Linked DNA regions of Callithrix jacchus. The protein of the gene in region 2 interacts with the protein of the main gene of each other region in a biochemical or structural test. Links are inferred from orthologs where the notes say so. Each region holds a gene or a part of one and is shown on either strand. Other genes may lie near its edges.

Region 1 (11,127 bases), on a different chromosome or scaffold from region 2:
GAAGCGCATATACACATACACACACACACACACATACACACTCTCACACTTACGTTTCTTTCCAGAGGGGTTGCTCACATGCTCACTTGCTAAAGCCCCATATATACCTACCATGTTTCATGGTCCTCAAATATGAGGACATTTCTCTCCTCTCCTCACTCTCTTCAGAATTTCTTTTCAAAAACGAGTCATACTATCCAAGGCAAACAGTGGATGTCAGATTCTTCTAACCTGCCTCTTAATCTTAGCACAAATCATCACTCCACAACTTCAGGTCAGGAGACATAGGAAAGGTGTTTTAACTTCACCCAGCCTCAAATTTTCAGAGTCCTGAAAGCCTTGGAGATTCATTCCATTTCTTCTATAAATGTTACCTCAGAGAGGCAACAGAGTAGGGGAACAGCCAGAAGGGAAAGGGGGTACATGTCAGGGGTGAGGAAAGGGAAGGGAGAGGAACTTTTATTCTGCTTACAGAAAGATTTGCTTTTTAAAAACAAACAGTGATTTTTCTCCCCCACCCCTTATCCTCACCCCAATAGTTCTATTCTGAAAAGGGAGGAAACATAGTTAGATCAGGGAATTCTTCATTGTTGTAGCTGTTGCTCTGATCTCCCAGCATGGACAGCATCTCCTGATAAAAGAAAAAGATTAAGTTTGGGTCACACACCTTGATCTCTTATACTTCTCAAGTTTTATTCCACCATTCCCCTCCATTATCATCCCTGAACCTGAGTCTTTGCTACGCTGAGCTCTTAGCCTGCCTTCCTTCCAGCAAATTTGACGCATTTAGATCGCAGCCTTTTTTCCTAATCCCTTCTGTCTTCCTCCTACAGTTCCACCTTTTTCCTTTTCCTCGTTCTCAACATTTTCAAAGGGAGAAAAATCTGCTTGCTGTATTTCATATCACCCCCTTTGGACACATATGGAGTCTCTTGTCCTATTTGTTTTTCACCAAGACCTGTTCTACTTTCTTTCAGTCTTTGCTTTAAATCAGCTCTTCCTTTGTCCTGCCTAAGATTACTCCATTCACTCTTGCAGTCCCTCAGGACTGGTGTAAATAGACCATTATGGCTATAATCAGTTGTTCTATTTCATTTACTTTTCATTTTTATAATTTTTTAAATGGAACACTTCATAAATTTTTGTGTCACCCTTGCACAGGGGCCATGCTAATCTTCTCTATATTCATTCCAATTTTAGTATAAATGCTGCTGAAGTGAGCACTACTTTTTATTTTTAATCATTCTGTCTCTTTTAAACCCAAAGCAACTGTGACTTGGGCATGTGGAACTATTTGAATGAGCTAAAGTAACTTTCTTTGGCACCCTCCTATGGCACTGAACTGGTCTGTTCTGGTTAAATGGCATGTATCACACTCAATTGACTCCTTTTTGGTTTGTTTCACAGAGACAGGATCAGACTAGTTGCTCAGCCTGGCTTTGAACTCATGGGCTCAAGTGATCCCCTGCTTCAGCCTTCTAAGAGGCTGACATTATGAGCACAAGCACCACTGCATCTAGCTTCCACAATCCTTTCAATTACTGACAGTGATCCCTAAATTTATCCCTCTCTGTCTTCTCACATTTACCCCCCACCAAACACCTCAATCCAGGCATCCTTCCCTCACCGTCTCTCCTCCTCCCTGACTCTTTTTCTCCCAGCTTCTACTTTTCGAAAATCTTTTCACCCTCTTACCTGGAAGACCTCAGGCTGGCCAGGTTGCTGTGCTGACGATTGCTGAACATGTTGCTCACTAGAACTCGAACGATGATGAGGCTGCTGGCCCTGCCACTGTGGCCAGACACCCACACCCTCTGCTGTCCGTGTCTGGAATTGTCCTGCAGTCTGCCCAGTCTCAGGAGCTAGAAATACAGCAAGGAAGAATAAACAACTCCAATTTACACAATTCCACCGTGTACTAATTCCACAAGTCAAAACTCAGCCCTAAATTAATTTTTCTTCTCCAGGCAGCCTTTCCAAAGAGTCCTTTGCTCATTTAGATTAAATCTGCATACTATTAAATGTATAAAAATTTACATGACTTTACTATATATGCTAAAATATCATTTTTCATGTGGGTAGGTTTTAAATTCTAAATGGACTGTCACCTGGCATTTCCCTACAATTAGGTCAGTGCACCCAGAACACAGGCAAACAACTTTAACTACCAAATCCTTTCTCTTTACTGGTGAGATTTTCCTGTTACTCTCCTTGTGGTCTGGACTCACCAAAGTTGGATCCACGATTGGTGAGACTAGGGTAGGCAGCAGCACCAGGTGATGCAGTGGGAGCACCAGGGAGGGACATGGAGCTGAAGGAGGATGGAGTCTGAAAACTGCCCATGCCAAATTGGGAAGTACGTGCCTTAGTGGTAGCCTGGGTAGCCACCTGCTAAAGAGATGAAGAAGGGATACAGAACAGAGAATTAACATCATTGCACATACCATGCCTATGAGAGTCAACACTGTCAATCCCTGCATCCTTCTGAACCAAGATCATCACTTATTTCCTACTGTGTTTCTTCCAATTACTCTCAATCTCTCTTGACACTATTTTTTAGGCAGCTGAGATAAAAGTACAAAAAGCAACAAACTATGGGATTAATAAAAGTTGTAGTGAAAGCATCTTATAAACTGTAAAGTTATATAAAACTAGAGGCATTCAAAACTGTTAAGTATTACATGCAGGCCAGGTGGGGTGGCTCATACCTGTAATCCTAGCACTTTGGGTGGCCAAGCCAGGTGGATCACCTGAGGTGAGGAGTTCAAGACCAGCCTGGCCAACATGGTGAAACCCCTCTCTACTAAAAATACAAAGATTAGCCAGGCATGGTGGTACATGCCTGTAATCCCAGTTACCCGGGAGCCTGAGGCAGGAGAATCACTGGAACCCAGGAGGCGAAGGTTGCAGTGAACAGAGATTACACCACTGCATTCCAGCATGGGCAACAGAACGAGACTCAGGCTCAAAAAAAAAAAAATATATGCAGAGAAAAAATACTCTGCACCATAATTCAGTCTGTTCTACGTTCATTTGTTCCTAACGGTGCATTTTTTATAAAAACTATTTTCTCACAAGAGTTGTATATGTGCATCGTAGAATATTTGGAAAGTAAAGGAAAACAAAAAGAATCATTCATAATTTGTTAACATGTTTAGATAATTTCTTCGTTTTCATTTCCTCACGCATTTTGTACATAATTGAGATCATACTGCATCTAACATTCTGGAGCCTCCTTTTGGTTTTGACTTTTTAAAACTATTACTTGTATAACATAAATATATAGTAATATTAAACAATCTTTCTTTAGACAATATATTTATTGTGCATTATATTATATATATACAAATTTTTCAACTTTTGTAAACAGACATCACTGTAAGTTAGTCATTAATTTTCTCCTTTGTTCTTGTATTACATAGTCCTAAACAAAGAGGAAACATCTTAGAATTTACTCATAAACAAATGTGAAAACCAAACTCCACTGAGATTTTTTATTATCTGTGATTTTTAATTAGCTCCTCTCAACAAAGATGAAAACTGGAAACTGGAAGATAGGAGTTGCGGAGAAGGTATTTAAAATAGAAAACACTGACTCTACATATGTAAAAAAGACCAAACAAACAAAAAATAATACACAGGGAACAAACAGATATATAAGTTTTACCTGGGCAGAAAAGCCTGAGCGGGTAGTAGGGGTCCAAGTTGGGGCTGCTCCCTGGGTGGGGTTGGAGTGGCGGGAAATCTGGGCCAACATCTGTCCTGCAGAAGCTGATGGCTGGACAATGGTTACAGGAGGGGCTAAACCACTATTCCTAGGAGTGAACAAATGAGGTAAAGGATTAAAATGATAAATTTATTATAGAAGCTAGGAATCAAAGGACAATCTAGTGCTATCCCTAGATCCCCTTGACTTCCTGCAGGTTAAGGAAAATTTGATAACAATTTGGAAAAGACAAGAAAGACTGACAGTCACACACTGACCAGGACACAGAAATGGAGCCTAGTACATGGCAACAGGAAAATGCAAAGAAATAGGAGGAAGAAAAGCAGCTTGTTTGCCTCACACTAGGCCCTACAAGCTTCACTGCTTTTTCTGAAATAACCAGAGAAAGCAAGGGAAGAATAAAATTTGGATTCATCAGCTGAATCCCTCAGGGCCCTGTAAAGCAGCACATATATATGGGGCTCACCTGAAATTCTCTGCCGGCCGGGGGGTAGGAGGGAATGTGTTGCCCTGGGAGAATAGCTGTTGGGTGGCAGGGACAGTGCTGGAGGAGATGCCTTTACTCTGATCTGTGGACCAAAAGGAGTTGGGGGAGGGCCAGTCAAGGGGCTGTAGTATATTAGTTCAGCAAGTTCCTATTTACTCAGGTGGTATTATGATTAAGTGGAAAAACATCGGAAGATTACTGATTGGGTAGTGGCATGCCCATCAGTAAGTGATCTAAATGAGAATTTAAAAGGATAGTGAGAAAGAAACATACCTGCATTGATGTTGTGATAAATTTCTGAAAATCTTGGATCTCTATCCTGGGCAAATAAACCATCTGACTTCTCAAGGGGCTTGCTGTGTTCCGGTCCTGTGGTTGTCACAGGCTGAACAACCTGTGGAATACAATAATAAAAATAACCATTAAAGATTTAACATGACAATTTAATAACCCTAAAATTCATATAAAACATATGTAGATTCTAACTAGTACTGGAGGACACTTCCTAAGTAAATACTCTCTATCCTTTTCAAAGAAAAAGAGGACACAACTTACCTGGGAATGATTGTAGCTGGCCAGTCCATCTCTTCCTGGTACCATGTCCAATTCTGTTTGCTGTTGCTGCTGCCTATATGTCAAAGGACAGTGGAAAAGAGAAATAGGGAAAAAGAAAATTTTTTAAAGAATCTGGAAAAACTAGATTTTTTTTCTTAAAAAAAAGAATTATGGGCTGGGCGCGGTAGCTCATGCCTGTAATCCCAGCACTTTGGGAGGCCGACGCAGGTGGATCACGAGGTCAAGAGATCGAGACCACCCTGGTCAACATGGTGAAACCCCGTCTCTACTAAAAATACAAAAAATTAGGCAGGGGTGGCAGCAGGCTCCTGTAATCCCAGCCACTCTCGAAGCTGAGGCAGGAGAATCACTTGAACCCGGGAGGCAGAGGCTGCAGTGAACCTAGTTTGCGCCATTGCACTACAGCCTGGGTGATGAGAGCAAAACTCCGTCTCAAAAAAAAAACAAAAAACAAAAAAAAATTAACCAACCAACCAAACAAAAAAATATATGGGATTGCAAATGACCACCCCCTGGGTGACTGCTCAACAAATGATTATTTCACTCTTTCTTACCTTGGTGCCAGCTGCCCTGAGCCCATCTCCAAGGGTAAATTAGCTGTGGGACCTAGCTGTGGCCTCTGGACTGCGTTGGAGAGTGCAGGCCGTGGTTCTTGGCTAGAGTTCCTAGGAAAACAGAGTAGACAGTAAAGAAGGGAAGGAAGTGGAGGAGGGGGAGACAGAGACAAAGAGAACAATCAGATTCTGTATGTAAAGCTCTACAGATTCATCTGTAGGTGGAACAATCAATAAATCCTTCATTGAAGTCCAATCCTACAATTAACCTATGATGTCAAATAGAAACTATGTCCTATGGCACAAAGGGTCACCTTGTTGGGTTCTCAGTCCTTCTAGGTATTCAAAACCTGGTTGTTATATATATTCATAGTCTGTATTTTTTTAAAGCATAGGTAAAAAACTGAAAGTATGTACACTGATACATTAACAAAGACTATCTGGAGTATGAAATTTTTTTTTCCTTCTCTCTATACTCTTCAATACTTTCCACATTTTCTATAAAAAAATATTTATTTAAAAATAAAATACTGGCCAGGCACAGTGGCTCACGCCTGTAATCCCAGCACTCTGAGAGGCTGAGGCAGGGTGGATCACTTGAGCTAAGGAGTTTCAAACCAGCCTGGGCAACATGGCAAAACCCCGTCTCTACAAAAAATACAAAAATCAGCAGGAGTGGTGGTGGGCTCTTGTAGTCCCAGCTACTCAGGAGACAGGTGGGAGGATCGACTGAGCCTCAGAGGAAGAGGTCGCAGTGAGCTGAGATAGCGCCACTGCACTCTAGCCTGGTGACAGAGTGAGACCCTGTCTCAGTAAAACAAACAAACAAGCTCTAAAAGCTAATTAAAATTAATCATGTAGGGAAAATGATACGTAAACATGGAGAAAGCAGTTATTTCCAGAAATTCAAGTCCTTAAAATGACTTAAATTTTTTAAAATTTAAATAAAACGGAAACACAAAAATGATGCCTGTTGTATAATATAAACATGCAAAAAGACAGGAAAAAAAAAAGCTACAATGACCATGGCCTTCCACTTGAGTTCTAAGTTAATAAAAACTTCTAACTCAATCCATTGTGTTATATTAAGTTACTTAGCAAAGAATTAAACTTTACAAGTTCTAACGACTGAATTGGACAATGCTGTTGTCACTAGGTATTATTCATACTTGCTAAGTAGTCATAATCTGATCGTCAAGAGCTGGATTCAAGGCCAATTCTACAGAAAAAAAAGATTAAATGGCAAAGTGACAACCTACTAGATGGCTATAATAAAGAAAGACAATAATGAGTGTTAACAAGGATGTGGAGAAACCAGAACCCTTGTACATTGCTCCTGGGAATGCAGAGGGATGCGGGAGCTTTGGAAAACAGTTTGGCAGTTCCTCAAAAGGTAAAACAGAGTTACTCTGTGACCAGCAATTCCACTCCTGGGTGGAATTCAAGAGAATAAAGACATATATCCAAACACAAACTAGTATAGAAATATTCATGAAAGCATTTTTTCAGCTCCTTATCGCTATTTTACAGATGAAAGCATTCTTGATAACCAAAAAGTAGCAACAACCCAATGTCTGTTAATGAACACATAGTATGTGGCATATCTATACAACACGGATGACCTTTGTAAACATTTTACTAAGTGAAAGAGGCCAGTTACAAAGGAACTACATAGTCTGTGATTCCATTTATATGAAATGCCTAGAATAGACAAATTTACAAAGACAACAGATTCATAGTTACACCGAACTTGAGAGGAAGGGGAAAGAACAGGGAATGACTGTTAACTGATCTAGAATTTCTTTTGGAGGAATGAAAATATTCTGAAATTAGACTGCAATAAGAGTTACATAACTATGTGATATACTAAAAAACACTGGATACTTTAAATGGGTGAGGCGTATGATATGTGAAATATATCCCAATAAAACTTTTTTAAAAAGAAGCTGAGAAAAAAAGCTCAAATAGAAAAGTTCAAAAGAGAGGAACAGTAACTAATAAAACAGGAGGATATAGCTATGCTCTAAGCAAACAGCCCAAATAAAGCCCACTGCCTGCTTTTGTAAAGAAAGATTTACTGGAACACAGCCACAGTCTTCCGTTTGTCTATGACTGTTTTCATGCTGCAGCAGAGCTGAGTAGGTGCAATGAACACCACATGGCCCACAAAGCCCCCTTTACAGAAAGAGCTTGCCTACCCCTTGCTCCAGAGGAAAATCCTGCCAGACTAGAGCAATAAACTGGTATATAAAACATAATCCTTTTCAGAATGAGTTGATACATAGAATTGAAATATAAACCCTTCCATTTCAGGACCTAGTCTCTGAATTATTGTTGGTAAAATCTTATTCTGCCCAGGTGCAGTGGGTTATACCTGTGATCCTAGCACTTTGGGAGTTGAAGGAGTATGGATTGCTTGTGCCCAGGAGCTCAAGTCCAGCCTCTGCAACATGGAAAAACCCCATCTCTATAAAAAATACAAGAATTAGCCAGGCATCCTGGTGCACGCCTGTAGCTCCAGCTACTCAAGGGACTGAGGTGGGAGGATCGCTTGAGCCTGGGAGGTCAAGGCTGCAGTGAGCCATGATCATGCCACTGCATTCCAGCCTGGGTGACAGAGTGAGACCCTGTCTGCGGGGGGGAATAAAGTTTACTCTATTCTGATCAACTATCCCAAATCCTGTAAGCTGGAAAATGAGAAACTTCAAACTAATGGTGTTGAATATTGGAAAAGTAGAGGATAAGGGGACAGCTTGATAAGACTAAGAAGACTTGGTCCGTTAGAAATCCCAACGTCGGAAAATGCCTGTGTTATATTGTGAAATACAACTGATTGCTGAACATGGAGGTTGGGGCACCAAGCACTGTGCAGTCAGAATTTCGACTGTGACTTCTGACTCCCCCAAAACTTTACTACTAATGCCTACTGTTGGCTAGAAGCCTTATCAATAGCAAACTGTTGATTAACACATTTTGTATGTTGTATGTGTATATACTGTATTCTTAAAATAAAGCTAAAGATAAAATATTTTAAGAAAATCATAAGGAAGAGAAAATACATTTATAGCACTGTACTGTATTTATTGTTAAGAGTTTATATTATCTGTTTACAAGATGAGTCGTTTCTACGAAGTGGCAAGCAACCACAGTTGCCGACTTCATTCTACAGTACATATCAAGCAATTCACCTTTTTCTTTTTTCTTTTGTTGAGACTTCGCAGGCTAGAGTACAGTGTCGCAATCTTGGCTCACTGCAACCTCTGCTTACCGGGTTCAAGCGATTCTCTTGCCTCAGTCTCCCGAGTAGCTGGGACTACAAGCTCCCACCATCATGCCTGGCTAACTTGTATTTTCAGTAGAGACAGGGTTTCACCATGTTGGCCAGGCTGGTCTTGAACTCCTGACCTTATGATCTACCCACCTAGGCCTACCAAAGTGCTGGGATTACAGGCTTAAATCACTGCGCCCAGCCCACCTTTTTCTTATAATGTCATGACTTTTCCCTGCTTCTTGGGAACACTTCCAGCATCACTAGTGGCACTTCATATTGTTCCTAAATGTTATTAAAGGTTTACAGTATTTCACTAAACATGATGAAAAATACACAAGAACCATGAGATTTCACTTTTTACTACAATATACAATTTACCGGAGAGAATTGCTCATGAAGACATGATTAGCATCATATAGCATGTTAAGCAGACCGGCAACAATTGAGCAATAGGAGGTGGCTATAAAATTATTACAGTAGTACCGTATGTATTACAGTTAACTTTATGCAGTTATAATTTAAAACTACATCTTTACATTTGTTCACATTTATCTCAACTACAAATAGTACCATATATAGTCTGTGCGTATGTATAGGTTGTGATACTTTTTTTTTTTTTTTGAGACGTAGTCTCACTCTGTCACTCAGACTGGAGTGCAGTGGTGCAATCTCAGCTCACCGCAACCTCTGCCTCCCAGGTTCAAGTGATTCTCGCGCCTTAACCTACCAAGTAGCTAGGACTATAGACATGCGCCACCATGCCCAGCTAATTTTTGTATTTTCTTTTTTTTAAGTAGAAATGGGGTTTCACCATATTGGCCAGGCTGGTCTCAAACTCATGACCTCAAGTAATCTGCTCAGCTCAGCCTCCCAAAGTGATGGGATTACAGGTGTGAGCCACCTCACCTGGCCAGCATTTTTACTTTTTATAATAGATTTCTATACACTTTATGGTAGTAAATGATAAAATAAGATTAGAATTTACATATATTTAATACTTTCATGACATGACTTTTTCTAATTTTTTTCAATAAGTCTAGGCTATGTAGCTTATTGTAGGGTTTTTCAAATTGTCACAAATTTCCAAAAATTTTTCCAACACATTTACTGAAAAAAATCCATGTGTCAGTGGACCTGGATTTATACCAACTAAAATCTTTGGAATCTTCAGTACGGTAAGTGTCTTTTTGTCTGCTAGTGAGTTGACTGACGGCTGGCAACCCCTAGGCAGCTTTAGGATAGGGGCTTGTCTCTGGAAAGATCAAGGCAAAATTAGAGGGTTGGGATTTTTAGCCCTAACCTTCAACATCATGGAGGGGCACGGGACTGAAGGTTAAGTTGATTGCCAATGGCCAATGATTTAATCACTCATGCCTACATAATAAATATTCCATTAAAACGCAAAAGGACGCGGTTTGAGGAGCTTCTTGATAGGTAAACACATGGAGATCCCTGGAGGGCAGCCACCCAGAAGGAGTATAAAAGCTCTGTGCTCCTTCCTCCTTACCTTGCCCTATCTATCTCTTCATCTGATGTTCACTAGTATTCTTCGTAATATCCTTTATAATAAACTGGTAAACAAAGGTAAATGTTCCCTGAGCCATTCAAGCAAACTGACGGAACCCAAGTAGGGGGTCATGGGAAACAGCTGGTCAGTCAGATACACAGGTACAACAACCTGGAGCTTGTAATTGGCATCAGAAGTGGGAGCAGTCTCATGGTACTGCATCTACAAATTGGGAGATCTGATGCTATCTTCAAGTAGACAGTAAACTGAATCGAATAGAAGGACAACCAGCTGGTATCCACTGCAGAAGTGACTGCTTGATGTTTTTTTTAAACAGAGTCTCCCTCTGTAGCCCAGGCTGGAGTGCAGTGGCGCAGTCTACTCACTGCAACCTCCACCTCCCAGGTTCAAGCAATTCTCCTGCCTCAGTCTCCAGATTTAGCTGGGACTACAGCCACACACCACCATGCCCAGCTGATTTTTGTGTTATTGCTTGATTGTTTTAGCCCTCACATTGGGCATCAGAAGTATTGTGTGTTGTGAGAGCAGAGGAAAAAGAGCTTTTTCATACTCCTCTATAATACGTACTTCACATTGGTGTTGGTACAGATGATGTACTCAATTTCATCTGAGTAAGGGTTCTGGAAAGTAAAGGAGCTTGTTCTCATCCAGAGCCATTCTTGGTTCTTAGACCGGAACCGGAACATGACAGACAGCACTTGGCCTTTTAATTTCACAACCTGAAAAAGTTTTCATGCCATCAGTGGAACTCATAGAAAATTTTCATTACAAAAATAAATAAAAATTTTCCAATTTCTACAATCCTAAAACTCTTACCATTATCCTTGAAGCACCAGTATTTTTCAGTATTAACACAAAATGAGAAAGTATAAACTAAGTGATTAAATATGGAGGCATATTTCTCATGCTTCCTCTCAGAGACTCACGCTTTCTTATTAGGCTGGTGCAAAACACATTATGATTAAAAAAAAAAAGGCAAAAAAT
Region 2 (11,127 bases):
GCTTTACCTCCAAATGAGAAGAGATTGTGAAGATATAGGAAAAGATTAATGAGAGACATAAACACTTTGTGGCAATAAAAAACTATTTTTATACAAAAGTAATTTAAAAAACTGTGGGATAATTTTAGATTTACAGAAAGGTCAAAAGGATATAGAGTTCCTTTATTCTCTTCAGCAAGGTTCCTTTAATGTCTTGTATGACCATGGTACATTGGTCGAAGCTAAAAATTAACGATCATACAGTATTGTTAACTAGACTTTGAGTTCTGCAGACTCTCAGTAATGCCCTTTTTGTATGAAAGACGTAATTCAAGATACCACATTAAATTCAGTCATCATGCCTCCTTAGTCTTCTCTGCTCTGTGACAATTATTATTCAGTCTCTTTCTGTGACAGTGACCCTTTAAAAAAATCCTCTCAAAAATTTTGTGGAATTACCCTGAATTCGGGTTTGATGTTTTCTCACTAGACTGACATCACATGGGTTTAAGAAAATCAGGGAACGTTGAGACATACACTTCTCAAAGTATCATATCACGTAATACATGTCATATCAACATGACTTTTCACTGGTGATGCTAACCTTGATCACTTGGTTAAAGTAGTGCTTGCATGATTTCAACACTGTAAAACGATTTTCTTCTCTGTACTCTATTTCTTGAAAGCAAGTCATTAAGTCTAGCTCACACTTCAAGAGAACTAAGCTCACACATCAGAGGGCATAGTAGCTAGCAATATTATTTGGGATTCTTCTATAGGAAAGGTGTGCTCCTTCTCCCTGATTTATTTTTCTTTCTTTTTTTTTTTTTTAAGACAGAGTTTCGCTCGTTACCCAGGCTGGAGTGCAATGGCGCGATCTCGGCTCACCGCAACCTCCGCCTCCTGGGTTCAGGCAATTCTCCTGCCTCAGCCTCCTGAGTAGCTGGGATTACAGGCATGCGCCACCATGCCCAGCCAATCTTTTGTATCTTTAGTAGAGACGGGGTTTCACCATGTTGACTAGGATGGTCTCGATATCTTGACCTCGTGATCCACCCGCCTCGGCCTCCCAACCCGATTTTTCAACCATCTATTTGTATCAGGATGGATTCATGGATCTTTACTTTATTCTTTGGGTTGTAATCCAGTGCTATCATCACTTACTTAGTTGCTCAAATTATTCCAGTTTTGGCTAAGGGCAGCTAAGCGATTTTATATAAATCACTGAATCCTCCAACAACCCAGTGAGGCAGGTACTGTTAGCCTTATTTTATAGAAAAGGAAACTTAGGCTCAGAGAAAGTAAGAAGTCTTCCCAATGACATACCTTATTTGTGAGGAAGCCAGGATTTATACCTAGTAGTGTGACTCCAGTCTATGCTGCTCTCTAAGGGATAGAATTGCTCCACAAATGTCCATCAGAGATAAGACACTGAATCACTTCTTAGATAGTATGTATAGAAAGAGCCACAAATGGTCAGAACTAAGCCTGCTGCCAGGAGGGAAGAGGAAAGAATGGTTAACAAAGGAAAAAGAAGGGATAATAAGAGCTTGTAGGACAACTAATGTCATGCAAGAAAAAAGTTCATTCAAAGTAATCAATTTGGTTGCAGGGCCATAGAAAACGAGCCTGTGGTTAAGTTTAATGAACTGCAACAATGCAGTATAATAGAAAGATGGAAAACAAAAGCAGGTTTCAGATCAAGATTGTTACAAAGGAAGGAGGTAAAGAAGTAATTTATTGGACAAAAAAAAGAGGAAGATCATGTAATTTTTTTCCAAAATGGAGGAGGACCTATACACAGGGAATCCTATGGAGAAGGAGAGCCTCTGAGAAAGGAAGCATAGAAGTTACATGCATGAGAACAAGAAAGAACCTGGGCTAACCCTGGAATTCAGGAACCTCTCCTCCTCACATACTGGAGGTAAGTCTAAGAGACCAAAGAGAGAGGAATTGCTGAGGTGAAGGTACAGACAAACTTAGGATGATACCCTCAATTTTATTAGTAAAAACAGAAGCAAGGTCATCTGCAGACAGTGAAAGAAGTTAGAGAGGTGTCACCCAGTCCTGTCAGTGACCAACATCCCTGGGTTGGTGTTTGGTAGAGCTGGTGAAATTAGACAAGCTAGTCATTCATGGTGACAGAAATAATCAGAGATGCACTCAGGTAATCTGGATTTTTACTTGATTTTTTTCAGATAGTTAAAACTAAAAAATTTATGTAACTCTTAAAGACTCAGGGTTACTCTAAAATGTTCAGAATTAAGTATGATGCTAACTTACAATCTGCTTATTGAGAAAAATACCTAATTGTAAAGAACAAATACAAAACTAATAGAAACATAACTGTCATGAGAATGAAAATGTTTTCTCAGGAATTTTTCTTCAATCAATTCTAATTGCAGAATTTTTCATGATATTCAACACTTATAAATTTAAAGCCAAAGGCTTCTGTATCATTTATACTTATTAAACAGAAAGACAAAGTTTGGGCAATGGTTTTTCTAAACTAAGCACAAAAAAGCTAACAAGAGTTATTTCAAATTTCTTCAGAAATATTCTTAAAATATTATTTATTAAAATGGAATTTTGGATTTTAATCTGATACAAACACTACTACACTGATAATACAGGGCTTAAAGAAAAAGTCCATTTCAGAAGCATTTTAATTTAAAAAGCTACTGAAAGTATTTTTTATATCCAGATAAAGGCCAAACATTGGGAGGAAAAACTGTGTAAAAAGTTTATGAATTATTGACTTAATATATCTCTATGTATTATAGACCGCCCTCATCTAAAATAGTTACAATACTATGTAACTTATGACACAATTTCCTTTAGGTGGACCAGAAAGAAGAATTTACATTAAAACATGTTATTCATATTTATTTTATTACATATATATTATTGTATACAACTTTGATAATAAGGATATTATAAATCATACTTTAAGCAAAAATCTATGCATGGCATATGTAAGCAGTAACATTTTGAAGCAAAAAAGCCATGAAAACATTTACCTAAAATGTATTAACACTGAAAAACACTAGTTTGTGCATAGTAATGATTGAAAGCTTCATAATACACTAGAATACTAGTAAGTCCTCAGGTATTGTAAGAAAAACCTGGTATAGAAAAAGACTAAATTAGACATATCCACATTCTTAGATGTGCATATCATCTAGAAATAAATCCCTCAGTGTGGCAGTGCACTAAGCATCCTTCCTTTGGCACTTATCAATACAGACAAAGATGTATTTGGTTTAATGTGGTTTTATTCTTAGACACATTTTAGTTATTTTATATAGATAAAAATATACAATATTGCTTTTAAAACTTAAATTTTGTAACTGTATAACTGATTTGTCATCATATTCACAATTAAAGAGCCTATTTTTCCACTTAACAATACGTCCAATAACTTGTGGAAGAGAGTAACAAAAATGGTTTATAGAAGACTTAAAAGGTTTAAATGTAAAAATAGAATATTAAGCTAGACCACTAGTCTAAATCCTTAGATATCTTATGCTGGAAACAAATTATGAAATGCTTCAGGCAAATTTTTTTCAACACAAGTTGATTATGCAGATTTAAAATTTTGACTGAAAATACATAGAACTGACAGAGATTTTGTCTGAAGCCACTTTTAAATACAATAATTTACTAAAAAAAAGTAAGACAAATGAAAATTGTGTTTTAATACATCTCAGTTTGGGATTCCATCAGATTGTAAAATAATACATGCAAAATGTGTCTAAGCTCTTCAGCGCTCATATCTAAAGAAAAGAATAGCTGGGTGCAGTGGCTCATGCCTGTAATCCCAAAACTTTGGGAGGCCGAGGCAGGATCACCTGAGGCCAGGATTTCAGACCAGCCTGGCCAACATAGTGAAACCCCGTTTCTACTAAAAATACAAAAATTAGCTAGGCATGGTGGCACATGCCTGTAAATCCCAGCAACTCGGGAGTCTGAGGCAGTAGAATCACTTGAACCCAAGAGGTGGAGGTTGCAGTGAGTCGAGATTGTACCATTGCACTCCAGTCTGGGAGGCAGAGTGAGACTCTGTTTCCCTCCACATCCCCCCGCAAAAAGAAGAAGAAGTAGAAAAGAATAAAAAATGGTGGCATATTTTCTTTTAAACCATTTCAGGACAGTAAAGTAGATAGGATGCTTAATTTGCTTATTGGTAATGAAGATCATTATATCATTAAAAACAACCTAATGTCTGAATGTAAAGGAACTATGTTAAAGCAGTTGGATTTATTACTTGATTTCTTAAAAAGACACATTGACAAAGGATGTAAAGACCCAACAAATTATTTAAGTGTATATATAAGGTGTGGACTTCTTAAAATGAAAAACTGCATATATCTTACAAATAATTTTGTTCATTCTATCTATACAATGCACCATTCAATGCACTCATTACAATACTTTGCACCAAACATTGCTACCTGCAATCTTAACATTCCTCAAATATGAGAAAAACCAAGTTTCCACTGTTCTAGGAAGCGAAATTTATAAAGTCAACACAATATATTATCAAGGATTATAGACCTAAGTTTTTAAAGACAATTTATACACATTGAAATAGGTGCTTTGCTTAATAGAATTAAAAAGCTAGAAATAAAGCTTCTTGCAATTTAATAAACAGTCACAGTTAACAGCAGATTTTTCACATGGCAACATTCAACTATCATCATAGAAATTTCAATAAAGATAAACAGTGGTATATTTATTTCTTCTGAAAACACCGTTGAAGAATTTAAGTGCTATTATATATTAAGAAATAATTTGGAAAGACATTTTACTTTAAAATTTTTTCAACATAAGGCACATAGCAACATTTATAGTCTAGAAACAACTAAATTATGCAATAAATAATTATTTTTCAATCACTGTTTGCCCTTTACCTGAAGTAAGTAGGGGAGTAGGACAGTTAAAACATGCCTGAATTAATAAAATGGTTGGATTTTGGAAATACAAATAATATTTGTGCGCAGAAAATAATTAAAAAAAAGAATACTTTACATAAAATATACATCCTACAGTGTTATAGGTAGAAAAAAGTGTGAGGCACTTAGATTAATAGTGAAGGAGGAAAGCACTGAGATTATCTTTTTATGAAAAGCACCAAATCATTTATTTTAACATCCAAGATAAATGCAGAGGCTAAAATGATAGGAAAAATGAGTTTAGTTCTGTAACTTTGTATTTGGAGAACTAGTAAGAATCCAGAAGTTCAAAACTCAAAATATTTTATTTTTATTCTGACAGAAATAATTAAAATAGAGAATGTTTTCTAATTTAGAAGAGTCTTAAAGTTTCCCTGAATAAGTTTTGCATATTTTGTGATGCTCAGAATAATGTGAAATGTAGATAGTATCTCACTACTCTGTGGCAGCACACTTTCTACACTAATGACTATAGTATATATAATTTTGATATCATTTTGAAAATTCCTTTTCCAGAAACAGAAATTAAAATTGGTTTGGAAGAATTGTGAAGAGCATGCATCAATGCCTCCATGTGAACTTGCTGACATCCAACAGTGACAGTTTTATTATTCCACAATCCTTTACAAACTAATTTAATCCAAAAACCAGGGTCAAAATTGGGCTTGGAATTACAGGAATCCACTTGATGTCAAATCAGGAAAAGGTGTGGCTTCTGACGGATGATGAAGTGGCTGAAGATGTGTGGTAGTCTGAGTGTTATTTATGTTATTTAATTCAGCTGGATATGTTTCATTTAAAACTCCATTCTGAAACTGAAAACAAAAATAGTGATGCAACTTACTGGAATGGATCTTCCAAGTATCTTAAGCCATTAAATAACATATTAACATGTATTTTTAAAATCTTACCCCTGAGAGTTGTGAACTTCAAGTTCCTTTACTGCTACTAAATGTTAAATCTTTCATACAGTGAAGACATAACTGAGGACATATTATGTATTAGCTGCATTTATAACCTTTTTTTTTCATTAATTTGACAGGAAATTTTGAATATGGTACAGATGAGTGATACAGCTGCCTCATTTCAGACTGCCTTTGGATAACATAGGAATTGATGGATCAAAGAGCATCAGTCAGGAATTATAGTTGACCAGGTTTCAAGTTGTAGGTGTCAATGAATTGGTTATATTCAGGAATCTTACACTGGAATGCAAAACTTTTCCAAAAAAGGCAGCTTCTGATTTTCTAAATATTCTTAAAATATTACACCACAGGTATGATTTGCTTAACCAGTATCTTATTCATAATATACTTTTAATTAGTGAATACTACTGAAAGTATAGTTCTAATTACAGAATCAAGTTACCAAAAGAAAATGCCCTTTCTTGTTTTCTTATACTGCAATGAATCTGGTTTCTGCAACTGCAAGTAGAAAAAAAGAAAAACAAAAAAAAAAAAAGGAAGGAAACGAAGATGCATATCCCTGTAGAGTTTTAGATTATAGAGCCTTTATATTTTAGTTAGTGTATGTTCTGCAAATGTTAAAACAGATTAAAATTATATTATTAATTGCTTCAAATAAATCTACCTTTCTAAACCTTAGGTAGCATCAGGCTTCAGTAATCAAAATATTGATTACTTCACAGATCCTCCAAAACAAATCTATAGTAAAAATCATATAATCTGATCTTTAATGAATGGCAACTCTGTAAATTCTTTAAATAAAAAGTTAATAGTACTTGTTCAGATAATGGTGAGTTTTAAATGAATTTTTCTCATTACTCATAACACAATTCATGTCAGCCATTCTCTTTAAACATACTGTACAGAGCAGTGTCATCCAATAGAAATGTGTGAGCCACATAGAGAACTTAAATTTTTGACTGCAGTAGATTAAATAAAATACATTACTAAAGTTAATTTTACCTGTTTCTTTTTACTTTTTTTAATGTGGCTACTGAAAAAATTAATCATTTCAACATGAAATAAATAATAAAAGATGAGATGTTTACATTTTCTCAAGCCAGGTCTTCAAAATCCAATGTGTATTTCACACAGCACATCTCAATTTGGACTAGCTACATTTCAAGTGTGTAAGAGCTACTCAGTGGCTCAATACTGAGTGTCTTAGCTCTGTAACATCTACTCTGGAGCATATGTAGGTCTACAGAATTATTTGGTTATTCACAAAGAAGCAATACAAAGTAGTGAGGGGAAAACACTGCAAAGAACTTATGTGGTACTAATGCAACTCCTTATTCAAAATGTAATTTTACAGAATTAACTTCTATACAATTACTCAAGAGTAAAATATACTTTCATAGCAATCTTGTGAGATTGTCTATAATTGAATATTATTCAATTTTTATAGAACTGAAGGATATAAGGAGTAAGAATAATCTTCGCCATCCTTTTCTATTAAAATGGTCATAAAATACGACAAACAAAATGTATGAAAAATCAGACAAACATAATGTATGAAAAAAGCCAGAAAATACAATTAAGGATAAAGATTCAGGTCATACTTCTAATCATTATACTCAAATACAGAGTAAACGGGGGTCAAGGAACTTAATTTTAGTCAAAATATTCTTTAAAACTAAACTTAAATATACTCTAAAATGAACTAAGTATTTTCTACTGGAAAAGCATAAATGCAAACATGATGTATTCCTCAGTGGCTTTCTGTTACCTTTTTTTTATTTAAGTGATCATTTTTAGATTTAAAGTGTATTCACTGCTAGAAGGATTCTGATGACACATTTAAACAATAAAAATATACTGTCAAGCTTGATTTCCATGACAGAAAGCTAGCTGAGTTACCTCTTTTAAGAAAGCCAGAAAAGAAACAAAGCAATTCTGCCTTAAAGGATAAAATGAAGATAGGGCAGGTAATGTGAGGAATAGCTAGAGAACATGGAGGCCTAGGACTTAATTCCAGGGATATAATCTAGGACAAAGGCATTATAAGAAAGCACACTTACATTTGAGTCTAACTCAATTTCAAACACATCCAAAAAAATAGAGCCGGGAAGAAACTATTCTTAAAAATTGCAATATGTTTATAAAGTTTGAATTTTTAAAAAGCCATATAATTTTTAAAGAATCCAGAAAGAATCAACCAAATTACCCATTTTAAATGTAATACTTTTAAAAACTAATTTCACTTGCTAATTTAGGTCATCTTACATTAAGGACACATTTATGTTGCTTTAGCCCTTGACACCTTTCTCCCTCATGACTCAGGTGAGTGATGTATTAGTAACATACTGGAAAAAGTACAGGCTTATGAAAAAAAAGGTAGTCACAGATATAATGAAAAATGCTGTCTCCATGAATGCTGTAGATAATAGATTAAAATCAGCGGACATAAAAAATGTGTAACATGTCTATTTATACGGTGACAAGAATCACTGAAAGATTCATTCAGTTTGTTAATACCCTTACCTTGTTTAAAAATGCCTGTTGACCTGGCAGTACTGGACTGTACTGCATCTGACCCACATGGGTGTGCTGAGGTTCTGGCTGGCACTGATACATCGACACAGACCCAGCATAACATGTCTGAGGGGTTACTATGGCTGACTGTGGATTTAATCCATGGTGTTGGTTTTCAGGAACTTGTAAACAAGTGACAAATTGTTCTAAACTAGAAGTAGTGGAGTATGGGGATGGTTCAAAACTCCCCATAGGATAGTCCAACTCTGTACATTTGGAATGTTGTGGTAATACAGACTGATTACAGGAAATAAAGTTCTGTGTATAAGGCATAGGATCAATCTCAGATTTGTAGGGAAACTCTTGATTGATCCCATGTACGTCTGAAAAGACATTATACTGTTGGAGGTCTTGCTGAGGACAACTGAAAGGCACAAATTGGGTAGAGTTCCAGTTTGCAAACATGCCATTGACTTGCATATGCTTCATTTTCTGACACAGTTGTTGCTGTGGCTCCACTACTACTTGCTTCTGGTGATGCTGTTGCTGCTGTTGCTGTTCTAGCTGTAGGTGTTCCTGTACCATACAGCTTGAGTTCAGGGCCAGTGACTGTTGCTGTTGGTAATCTGAAGGTACGAAGGCAGACTTATTTAAAGAATCTTGGATATATGTCAGGATTTCATCTGTTAAGTCAATGTCTCTGAAGTCAACCTCACCAGAAAAATCATTTCTGAAAAATTTTTCATTCTGCATGTGTTTGATGTCTTCAAGATCAATGCCTAGGTTTTTCATAATGCTGTATAAGTCAGTGTTTTTACTATCTTGAAAGAGCCCTGGGTGACCTCCAGCAAATGAGTTTACATCCTGAGACTGGTCAATTTGCTCATGTTTCAGGATAGTATCATTTCCCATTGATGCAGTATTATCTTGCCAATTTCTGCATTCATTCATAGATTCATTAAAAAAATTGTTGTCAAAAGGTGCAGTACATGAAGTACTTGAAGCAGGATAGAGATAAATAGACTCATCTTGTTGCATCATGGCAGCCAGGAGGGAACTAGGATTGAGACACTCCTTGTTTAGAGTTGATTTGGTAGCAGAATCTTTTCCACTCGTGCCATTTTTAGTCCTTAGTGGTAAGGGATCCATTATGGCAGGAAAAGGGTTGGTTACTTCATACAATACAGCTTCTCCAGTGGTAAACATAAAAGGCAACTTCGTATTTCGTTTTCGTAAATGCTCATTTCCTTCCTCATCTCTAAAATTGTGTATAAAAAAGTCTTAATAAAAATTATATCATAAACATTTAAAAATAAATATAATTACAAAAAGAAAAACAAGCAAAATACATAATTGAATTCAGAAGGGGACATATTTTATTTTCACCTCAATTATTCTCATGAGTAGTGCCATAAAATTGTTTTTCAGACAAGCATGTTTAAATAATTTAATTGTTAAAAATTAACTTAGTTAATTCCATGGTCAGGTTATATCCCTACCTGACATCCTGTAGAAAAAATAAGTTTGTGTGGAATAAAGATCTACACATAAAAACAGACTATAAGAATTTAGGGGCCAGGTGTGGTGGTACATGCCTGTAATTGCAGCACTTTGGGAGGCAGATGTGTGCGATTTGTTGAGCCCAAGATTTTGAAACCAACCTGGGCAACATGGTGAGACCCCTACCTCTGCAAAATAATAAAAGTTAGCTGGGCATGGTGGCACATGCCTACAGTATTGGCTACTGGTGAAGCTGAGGCAGGAGGATTGCCTGAGCCTGGAGGTTAACCCTAACCCTAACCTTAATGAGCCATATTTGTGCCACTGCATTCCAGCCTAGGTGATAGAGTAAGATCCCATCTCAAAACAAAATTAAAAAGTTTATGAATTAGAAATTTAAGAATCTGAAACAACTAACCTCTCTAGTAAAACCCAGAAACTATAAAGACATTACTGGTATACTTGGTAATATGAAAATTATTTAGTATTAATTAAAGTGTTTGTATTTTTGCAAGAGAATTCTTAAGGCATAAAGAAAATATTTTTAACATATATAATGTATTTATAATATATATATAAAATTTCATATCTATAATAGGTAAAAAGCTCCAATAGAGTCTAAGAGAGAGTCAAGCAACTCAAGAAAAACAGGTAAATGATAATACAAACTTGTAATTCAAAAAAGAAAAGTGTCCTAGAAAGATGTAACAAGATACCCTCCCTCATTAGTAATAAATAAATGAAACAACAAACATGTCTTATAACAGAAGCACACAAAATATCAACACATGTATGGACATATGAACTCCCAAAAGACAGAACATGTATTCTTTACAGGATTACATGGGATATTTTACCAACACAGACCATGTGTTAGATTATAAAATAAGCCACCACAAATTTCAAAAAACCTGAAGTCCACTCAGGGAATGTTTTCTGACTACAATGGAATTAAACTAAAAGTCAATCACAAAAAGGCAACTAGAAAAATCCCCAAACATCAAAAAGTAGAGTAACACCGTATTTATAAATAATTCACTAATAAAAATCAAATGAAAAGAAAATTAGCCAGTATTTTCAATTAAATAATAAAAATAAGACAGCAAAAGATGAGGGTTGTAGTTTAAGTGTTGTACTTAAAGGGAAACTGATATAATGTTTAAGTATATATATTTTTAAAAGTTAGAAAAAATTATATATTATACTCAAAGAAGGTAGAAGGAAGAAAATAATAATGAGCAGACATAATTAAA

What was found.
Region 1: the proteins of AHR (region 2) and ARNT form a complex in vitro, tested with the Homo sapiens proteins (14 studies listed by BioGRID, with this or other methods). The link is inferred for Callithrix jacchus from reciprocal best matches to the Homo sapiens genes AHR and ARNT.

Annotation. Positions count from the first base shown.
Region 1 is NC_133519.1:10,714,589-10,725,715, forward strand, and holds part of ARNT (aryl hydrocarbon receptor nuclear translocator), read right to left. Parts: intron 10,863-11,127; coding exon 10,711-10,862; intron 5,456-10,710; coding exon 5,345-5,455; intron 4,843-5,344; coding exon 4,770-4,842; intron 4,609-4,769; coding exon 4,488-4,608; intron 4,297-4,487; coding exon 4,194-4,296; intron 3,816-4,193; coding exon 3,668-3,815; intron 2,392-3,667; coding exon 2,229-2,391; intron 1,863-2,228; coding exon 1,696-1,862; intron 1,225-1,695; exon of another isoform or gene 1,117-1,224; intron 632-1,116; coding exon 542-631; 3' UTR 1-541. UniProt on the Homo sapiens protein: Required for activity of the AHR. Upon ligand binding, AHR translocates into the nucleus, where it heterodimerizes with ARNT and induces transcription by binding to xenobiotic response elements (XRE).
Region 2 is NC_133512.1:41,096,868-41,107,994, forward strand, and holds the end of AHR (aryl hydrocarbon receptor), read right to left. Parts: intron 9,633-11,127; coding exon 8,384-9,632; intron 5,750-8,383; coding exon 5,606-5,749; 3' UTR 2,853-5,605; downstream 1-2,852. UniProt on the Homo sapiens protein: Ligand-activated transcription factor that enables cells to adapt to changing conditions by sensing compounds from the environment, diet, microbiome and cellular metabolism, and which plays important roles in development, immunity and cancer.